2 linked regions of the Arabidopsis thaliana genome follow. The protein of the gene in region 2 interacts with the protein of the main gene of each other region in a pairwise test. Each region holds a gene or a part of one and is shown on either strand. Other genes may lie near its edges. The genes, in order: AT1G72340 and PYL7.

Region 1 (3,921 bases), on a different chromosome or scaffold from region 2:
TCGCTAACTACAGAGGGAGAGAGAACACCAAGGTCAGTGAAGAGGAGTGTTAGGTACTGAGGCGGAGTATAGTCTCGAGCTGACCTCTCTACTTCCACCTTTGTCGGAATCTTTACACCAAATTCGATTGGTCTCAACGCCGGTGCCATGTCCTTTTGGTCTAATGGGTAAAGCCTAGCGAACTGCAAATACACAACTTTGTATCATTAACCACTCTCTTACTATGGGATCTTATAAAACCGTTTCAATTACCTTGTAACTCTCAGCAGCAACATAGACCGGTTTGTTCATGCTGTGTGCCACAAGTGCGATTTGGTATGTTCCCATCATGTTGATAATACCGCCACTTTCTACAACTCCATCCGCCCCGACAAACACCATGTCTACCTCGTCCATACTATACGCCACAGCTGAATCAAGCAGTAGTTTCACTGGGATATCGAGCTTCGATAGCTCACTCGATAACAGAACTCCTGTTCCATCCGGCCTCCCCTCTATCATTTTTTCACCAAAAAAAGTTAGCGAGAGGCTACTAATACAACAAAATCATAAAGAGACAGGGTTTATAAGGTCAAGACTATGCAACAAAAATGTCTCAGAGAAACCAAGAAACATTAAGCGGATACAACTCAAGTTCCAATCTAAGCTTGTTGTTTAAGCGAACCTGTGCAGAGAACTCGAAAGAGCTTGTTGTTTTGTGCAGCAGTCTTAAGTATTTCCAGAACAACTCTAGAGAGTCCATGAACCAATATGGTACAACCATCGAATATAAAATCTTGACTAAGCATTGCGATAATCCTACGAGCCTGCGCAATAACCAAACCTTTATAAACCCTCTTCTATCAAATACTAATTGATCTACTTCATTGATATATGTACAAAAACTACTAAATATGAGCCAGAAGCCATAAAAGGAAGTACCTTGCAAGATATTTCCCCAAATTTCTCAGCACGTTCAAGAAGACGAGACTTAGCTGAATTGAAATCTTCATATTCCAAAGCAGACGTTCTCGTAACGTATCTGATAAACAAATCGCATCCAGCTGTCAAAGAGATCGACGTTTTGTCCCACGACTGCCAAAATTTGAACATTTCTTAAATCAACAAAGCCCACAAAATCGAAGAATGAACAGAAAGTGAAAAATGAATTCTCACCTTGAGTGTATCAGAAGCCTTTTTGAGCTCAATTTCAAGCTCCATCATGGTGCTCGCTTCGCTCGCACGAATAACAGCAGCCAAAGCTCGTATAGCCGCGACGGCTTCAGCCAGATCCGGTTGTTTTCTCCAGTTATTGAACTCTTCAATTACATTAAACGACTTCTCGTTCCCGAGATCAGTTACGGATAAGTCATGCTGGGCATCGCCTGAGACGCCGCCAACGGCGGCTTGAGCTTGGGCTAGCCAGTCGCTTGTAATGACACCGTGATGCGCCGCGCGAGTTTGGTAATAAGCGGAGATGGAATCAGGGTTTTGAAAAGGACCTCGTGTTGTATCCGCCATTGGAGGTGAATTCGAGCTTCGTCGCTCGTCGAGAATAAACGACGGTGATCTTCTCCACATTGATTTTTTTTTTTCTTGAGAAAATTCTTCAAAATGGAAAAATTGAAGATAATATACTGTCGCTTTCTCCAGAAATATCATATGAAAAATAAATATAAGGCCCATTAATAATATAAGGCCCATTTATAAGCCCAATAAATTTACTAATTTTCATATCTTCATATGACATGCCATGGAATGGAAGTACAAAATATTCTAAAATTAAATTAGCTGATCACAATTGCCTGATCAAATTCAAAACACAAGTTTTCTTTTTTTTAATAACTCAAACTGATCACACTTTTCTTCAAAAGGGTCTTTAAGTTCATCTTCATGGTCAGGTCCTTTTAGTTGCGGAACTCGTCCATGAAGCTCTTGTGGAACTCTGTCAGACGATTCACTATCGCTGGAATCTTGTCTTCTTGTGGAAGTATTGTGCATCTAAAGTGCCATGTTCCAGGAACCTAAACCACAATGAATCCAAAACCCATTATTCAAGTTCGATCCTTTTGTAAGACATTTAAAGTTATGAAGATTTGGTTATATTTTACCTGTCCAAAGCCAGAACCAGGGACTACAACTACACCAGTAGCATTGAGAAGGCGTTTGCAGTAGAACGCATCTGGTGCAGTTTTTTCAGCCTCAGCAGCTTCGATAGCCTTTTGAGGAAGGTTAATTCGCGGGAAGAGATACATTGCTCCTTCGGCTCTGTTACATGTAACACCTTCTAAACTGTTGAGAGCGTCTTCCAAAGTCTGCAAGTTCATTTTCAAGCTTGTGACATTATATACAAAGAGACTGAAAAATGTCGTTAGAGGGTATTGTAATCTTCGACTAACCTTTGCACGTTTAGCCATGGATGAGAGAATTCCATCTCTTTCTGCCATGTATGAGTCATATGAGTCATCACCAGGCTGATCAAATACAATATTAGACTTTTTAGTCATAATCTGTTGCAAGAACTTAGCGAAAACCGATTAGAGAGAACTAGGGTGTTACCTTGGGTGGGCTCATGACAAGGCTAGCAAGAATTTGACCAGAGATGTTAGAACAAAGATTCACAGAAGCCATTTTGTATATCTGTTCTCTTACATCAGAAGTGAATCCAGTAACCTCCATGTAACCTCCTCTTTTTCCACATTCTCCATAATATCCTATCAACAGAAGAATATTAAAAACAAAAACCCCATTTTTTAGATGACAAGCATTGGACAGTAAAAGTTGTTCTTTTACCTTTGGAGACTGATTGGAACGAGACTAACGAGATATCTTTTTCTCCATAGCCCAAAGACCGAGCCACTTTCTTGAAAGAATGGAACTTTTTGTCAGGGACGTAAACATTTTCTTGGTAGACTTCATCAGCTAAAAGAACCAAACCCTCTTGCTTGCAGAAATTAACAATGTCACGCTGGTTTTCTTCCGCAAGAACCTAACCAGAATAAGAACGCAAGATTAGAAGAATGTTACATTTTGTTAGGCTAGTCTTGAAAATCTGTTTGTACCTGCCCAGTTGGGTTACCGGGGTTTATGACAACCAAGGCCCTTACAGAGATGCCCTTGGACCTAGCTTCCTCTAGTTGCTTCTTAAGGTCAGATATTTCCAGTCCCCATCCTGTTGCTTCATCAAGATAGTACGGAACCTAAGAAGTACAAATTTCAAAAACTTGTACCAAAAAACAACATTACTCCATGATGATTATATGAACATACCAAAGATCCACCATGAAGGGCAATTGAAGCCGAGTACAATGGATACTGAGGAATCGGGGAAAGAATACCATCTTTCTCTGAGCTCAAGAGAAGTTGCATCATCATGTGAACCTATAGAGTAAAAAACACCAAAAACACTTAGCATGAATCCTTTAAAAGAACTTACTCTAACTCTATGAGATAACGTTTTCGTTTTGATTGTTACCGCTGGACTTGCACCATCAGTCAAGAAAATATCATTTGGATCAGCAGGGAAACCATCACGTGCTTCGATTCCAGCTGCAATTACATCACGTAAACCCTTGATACCCTGAGGCAGAACAAAAAATGAAACATTCAGCAACATAAGAACCATCTCAAGAAAGGGTTTAGGACTTTTAACTAGACTCTAATAACAAACCTGGCTATGACTGTAAGCCCCAGTTGCTCTTCCGGGAATATGGTCCAAAATCCTCCATGCTCGGTCAATTGAATCGGTACTGATAGCAGAGTAGAAATCAAATGTTAAGCAATCTTAAACCGTGAGCATACATGTCCTAAAGCTGAAATATAGCAAGGAAAACCTCACCTGAACAAACCATGGGTTTCAGACTCATCCAAAAGACTTGCGTGGTCACACAATGCGAGAACCTGAGGCATATAGATGATAGACGTTATATCTCTGTGGCTGAT
Region 2 (3,921 bases):
GGAAGAGGCTTCAAGTACTAGAACCACACAATTCAGCTAACTACATGATGATGATAAACTTGTACAGTAATTTGAACAGATGGGAAGATGTTGAACGTATACGGAACTTAATGAGGAATAACAGGGTGAGAGTCCAGGATCTGTGGAGCTGGATTCAGATAGATCAAACGGTTCACATCTTCTATGCGGAGGGAAAAACACATCCTGATGAAGGAGATATATACTTTGAGCTGTACAAATTAGTCTCTGAGATGAAGAAATCAGGTTATGTGCCAGACACAAGCTGTATACACCAAGACATAAGTGATTCAGAGAAAGAGAAGCTGCTTATGGGACATACAGAGAAGTTAGCAATGACGTATGGCCTTATCAAGAAGAAAGGCTTAGCTCCTATAAGAGTGGTCAAAAACACGAATATATGTTCTGATAGCCACACCGTAGCCAAATACATGTCGGTTTTGAGAAACCGTGAGATTGTTTTACAAGAAGGGGCAAGGGTTCATCATTTCAGAGACGGAAAATGTTCCTGCAACGACTCTTGGTGATAATATAGATACTACCTAGCTCTGTTTTTTCTAACAATGGTGCGTAAATACAGACACTGTCCAACAAACACCAGAAAACAAATTACATCAAAACTTTGACTGCATGCTCGAAAATGGCCCATGGAGCTGATCTGAGTAAAGCAGCAGAGAAGCATGATCACACGTGCTTCTATGAATCTAAATTTCCTTCACTGAGTTTGTTCGTGGGACTAATCTAGCCAAATCTTCAAAGGTTGGTTTCTGTATGATTCTTCTCTCTGTATCCATTGGAAGCGTTACAGAAAGTTGCGATGGAATTGGTAATGTCTTGAGCAGCCAATCTTTCAGAGACACAAGCCAAGGATTTGAGGTTACACTTTATGAGTGATTCCACGAAGTAACATGTATCATCTTTGGTGTTGCCTTGAGGAACATCCACAACAAAAGACTCCATCACCATAGTTCCTGACCTTCCATCAATCATCTCCGGATGCACAGTCAAGATCGAAGAGTAATTCTGCAGAAAACAATAACCATTATAGCAACCGCTAATGTTTCTGAATACTATGAGATTTGGATTTAGTCACCTTAAGTCTATGATCACCACCAATGATGTTGATACCGAGGATGTGTTCTTCATCATCAAGCTGTTCCAATCTCTCTGTACTGGTGGTTGCTGGAAGACCAGATTTGACATTTACTTCTCTGAGACAACCGATCTCAGGATCACCATTTACAGTGCATCTGCTTATAAATGGTTTGTATTTCTGCGGCTGATCAAATCTCCGCACCAGTGACCAAACCTGAATCATATATGTATATTCACTATCCTTAGCTTTAAGACTAAGAGAGACCAACAAGTAAACTAAAAAAAAAACGAGAATTTGCAAACAAAAATAGAAAGATCGGGAACCCTAAATCCGGCGAAATTTCATTTTCCCGGTGAATCAGACAGAATTAACTTCAACAAAGTACATAAAGAAAACAGAGAAAGAAAAACAGAGGATGAGAGAATAGAAGAGCGTACAAGATGAACAGGAGCTTGAATGTATTTGACGAGAACAGAGGTACACTGGTTCTCTCTGCAGTGGTGAAGATGACGCAACCTTAAGGACTGTGCCGTCACTAGAGCTCCGTACATCTCTGTATCTGTATCGTCTCCTCCGATCATCTCCATCTCCGACCAACCAGATATCTCTTATCTTCTTTCTCTTCTTTCCTTTTGAGGAATCTTGTTGGAAGTGGATATAATAGAAGCAAACAAAGTAAAGCTTCGATTTTTATTTATGTTTGGTTGGTTAGGCTAAGAAAATCAACGAAGACACCGACATATATTAATCCACCAACGGATTTACGATGAACCGACAAATCTTTAAGATAGATTACGTGTCTTAGTTTAACTGGTTTGTCGTCTACCTTTTTGGATTAGCTGTTGACTTTAAGCACGTGTGTATATCTCTCTTCTCCTGCCAAGTAAGCTTCCCAATTTTTACGACACCTATCTATCTCCGAAGTATGATCTCATCTTCTCTAAAAAGTAGATAGATAAAAGAATCTTGTGAGAATCTATCTTATTAGATAAAGATTGTAGCTGATGTCAGCATGAGATCACAATAAAACTCTGTTTTGACCCGATTTACACGTTCCAATTCACCGACTTCATTACCACAAAGGCTTTGGACATATTAGCTTTAGCTGTTTCCATCGTCTCCTCAGCTTCTTTCACCATATCTGCCGCCATTGTCGCCGTTTCTCCCGCCTTTGTGGCCATAGCCGCCACTTTTTCCACCATTGTTTCAATCTCCTCCACCATTTTTACAACCTTTTGCGCTACGCCCTTGGCGTCATCCGCCATTGTCGATGCCTTTTCTAACATTGCTGTCACTTCCTTTACCATGGCTACAAAGAGACATCACCGAGCGAGTTTTGTAAGAGTAGGTTTTTGGTGTCAAAACAGAGAGTTTTGCGTTTTTAACAAACCTCTGGCTTTCTCACGTTCTTCCTCTATTCTTTCCTTGATCTCCACGGCTGTGTCGAAAAGCCCTAGAGTTGGCTCGTTACACACAAAACAAGTATCGTTCTCAGTGTGATGCTGCATTATGAAAAAAAATAACAAGGAAAATCTGTTTTGAGTGTGTTTTCAGAAATTACGAAACTTGTTGTAAGGAAAAGATTACCTTTAGAGCACACTTGTCGCAGAAGTAATGGTTGCAGTTGGTGACAACAGGATCCAAGAATGGGTTTTGGCAAATGGAACAGGCTAAGGGCAATGCATCATCATCCTCTTCCCCTGTTAGCACAAAGTCAGTTTCAAGCTTCCTCGCTGTTTCTTTTTTTATCTTCTTCTCTAGTTTCTCTAATCTGGAGCTTTCGTTATTCGAATCTTCATCTTCTACTGCATCAAGATCTCTTTTCTTTAAGTTTTTAGTCATTTCACCTTCTTGAGTCTCTGTTTCTTGCTCAGCAAGTTGAGATTCTTCCTCCGACGTTTTAGCTTCATCAGAATCTGACATTCTATATCAAATTAACAAGTCAGGATTTATTCTCTGAATGAAACATATACGGATTCTAATTTCGATTAGATGTTATGACAAATCATACACTCTAGAGATCTGATTACCAAATTTAGTTCGAAAAGAGAAATAAGAAACATGATTTCAACTAATTTTAACCAATACGTAACCTAATGAAAACCCTAGTTATTAGATGATTCTAGGGAATGTAGAATCAACCCTTTTACTGAAAATGGCGGCAAAGTTTCTGACTTCGAAAGAAAGAACGGAGAGAAGAAGATTTGAAAATAACCAACCTCGCAGTAAGAGTAAAGCAGTGATGATCAGAAAACATCGCCGGAGATAATAACATCGGCGGTGACGACGCCTTCACGGTGAGAAGAATATGAAGAAGAAAGAAGTTGCAAAAAGATTTGGGGACACTGAACAGTTTAGTTAGGCCGGTGGGTTCGATTCGAATATCGAATTGGGCTTTTAATTAAGGGTAGGCCCATCAAATGTTTTTTTGACTCTTAAGTTAAGGCCATTAATGGCGATGTCTCTGTATGTTAGGAAGTAGTTTTCTTTCAACTTAGTAAACTCTCTGTAGACATTTACGCGTAATCAGTGATGTAGCGAGTCAAGTCCCAAGTCTTTCATTTACAACAATCTTTAGTTTATTTGGCATCCGGATTAGAATATGATCGGTTCATTCAATTGGTTAAAGAAGGTACTATACCGAACTACACTATGTTCACATATATGTACACATTAAGCAAACCAGATGTTACAGGATATAGATACATGGGTCCAGTCCGGTTTCAAAGCCTGTGAACAGGCTGGGCAACAGGGTGCTCTGGGACACCTAACTCGACTAATCCGATTCCACCATGAATTGTCCTTAA

What was found.
Region 1: the proteins of PYL7 (region 2) and AT1G72340 interact in a two-hybrid assay, tested with the Arabidopsis thaliana proteins (one large-scale study listed by BioGRID).

What each region holds. Positions count from the first base shown.
Region 1 is NC_003070.9:27,234,537-27,238,457, reverse strand, and holds the start of AT1G72340 (NagB/RpiA/CoA transferase-like superfamily protein), read right to left. Parts: upstream 1,662-3,921; 5' UTR 1,642-1,661; coding exon 1,156-1,641; intron 1,075-1,155; coding exon 922-1,074; intron 807-921; coding exon 665-806; intron 495-664; coding exon 253-494; coding exon of another isoform or gene 232-252; exon of another isoform or gene 183-231; coding exon 1-182. Other genes in the region: ALAAT2 (alanine aminotransferase 2), read right to left, coding at 1,887-2,003, 2,091-2,294, 2,379-2,453, 2,539-2,693, 2,773-2,968, 3,042-3,179, 3,250-3,360, 3,416-3,559 and 2 more.
Region 2 is NC_003075.7:444,960-448,880, reverse strand, and holds PYL7 (PYR1-like 7), read right to left. Parts: upstream 1,904-3,921; 5' UTR 1,702-1,903; coding exon 1,552-1,701; exon of another isoform or gene 1,328-1,551; coding exon 1,112-1,327; intron 1,042-1,111; coding exon 772-1,041; 3' UTR 546-771; downstream 1-545. Other genes in the region: AT4G01030 (pentatricopeptide (PPR) repeat-containing protein), read left to right, coding at 1-545; AT4G01023 (RING/U-box superfamily protein), read right to left, coding at 2,161-2,423, 2,505-2,616, 2,702-3,038, 3,334-3,389; AT4G01020 (helicase domain-containing protein / IBR domain-containing protein / zinc finger protein-like protein), read right to left, coding at 3,838-3,921. UniProt on the Arabidopsis thaliana protein: Receptor for abscisic acid (ABA) required for ABA-mediated responses such as stomatal closure and germination inhibition. Inhibits the activity of group-A protein phosphatases type 2C (PP2Cs) when activated by ABA.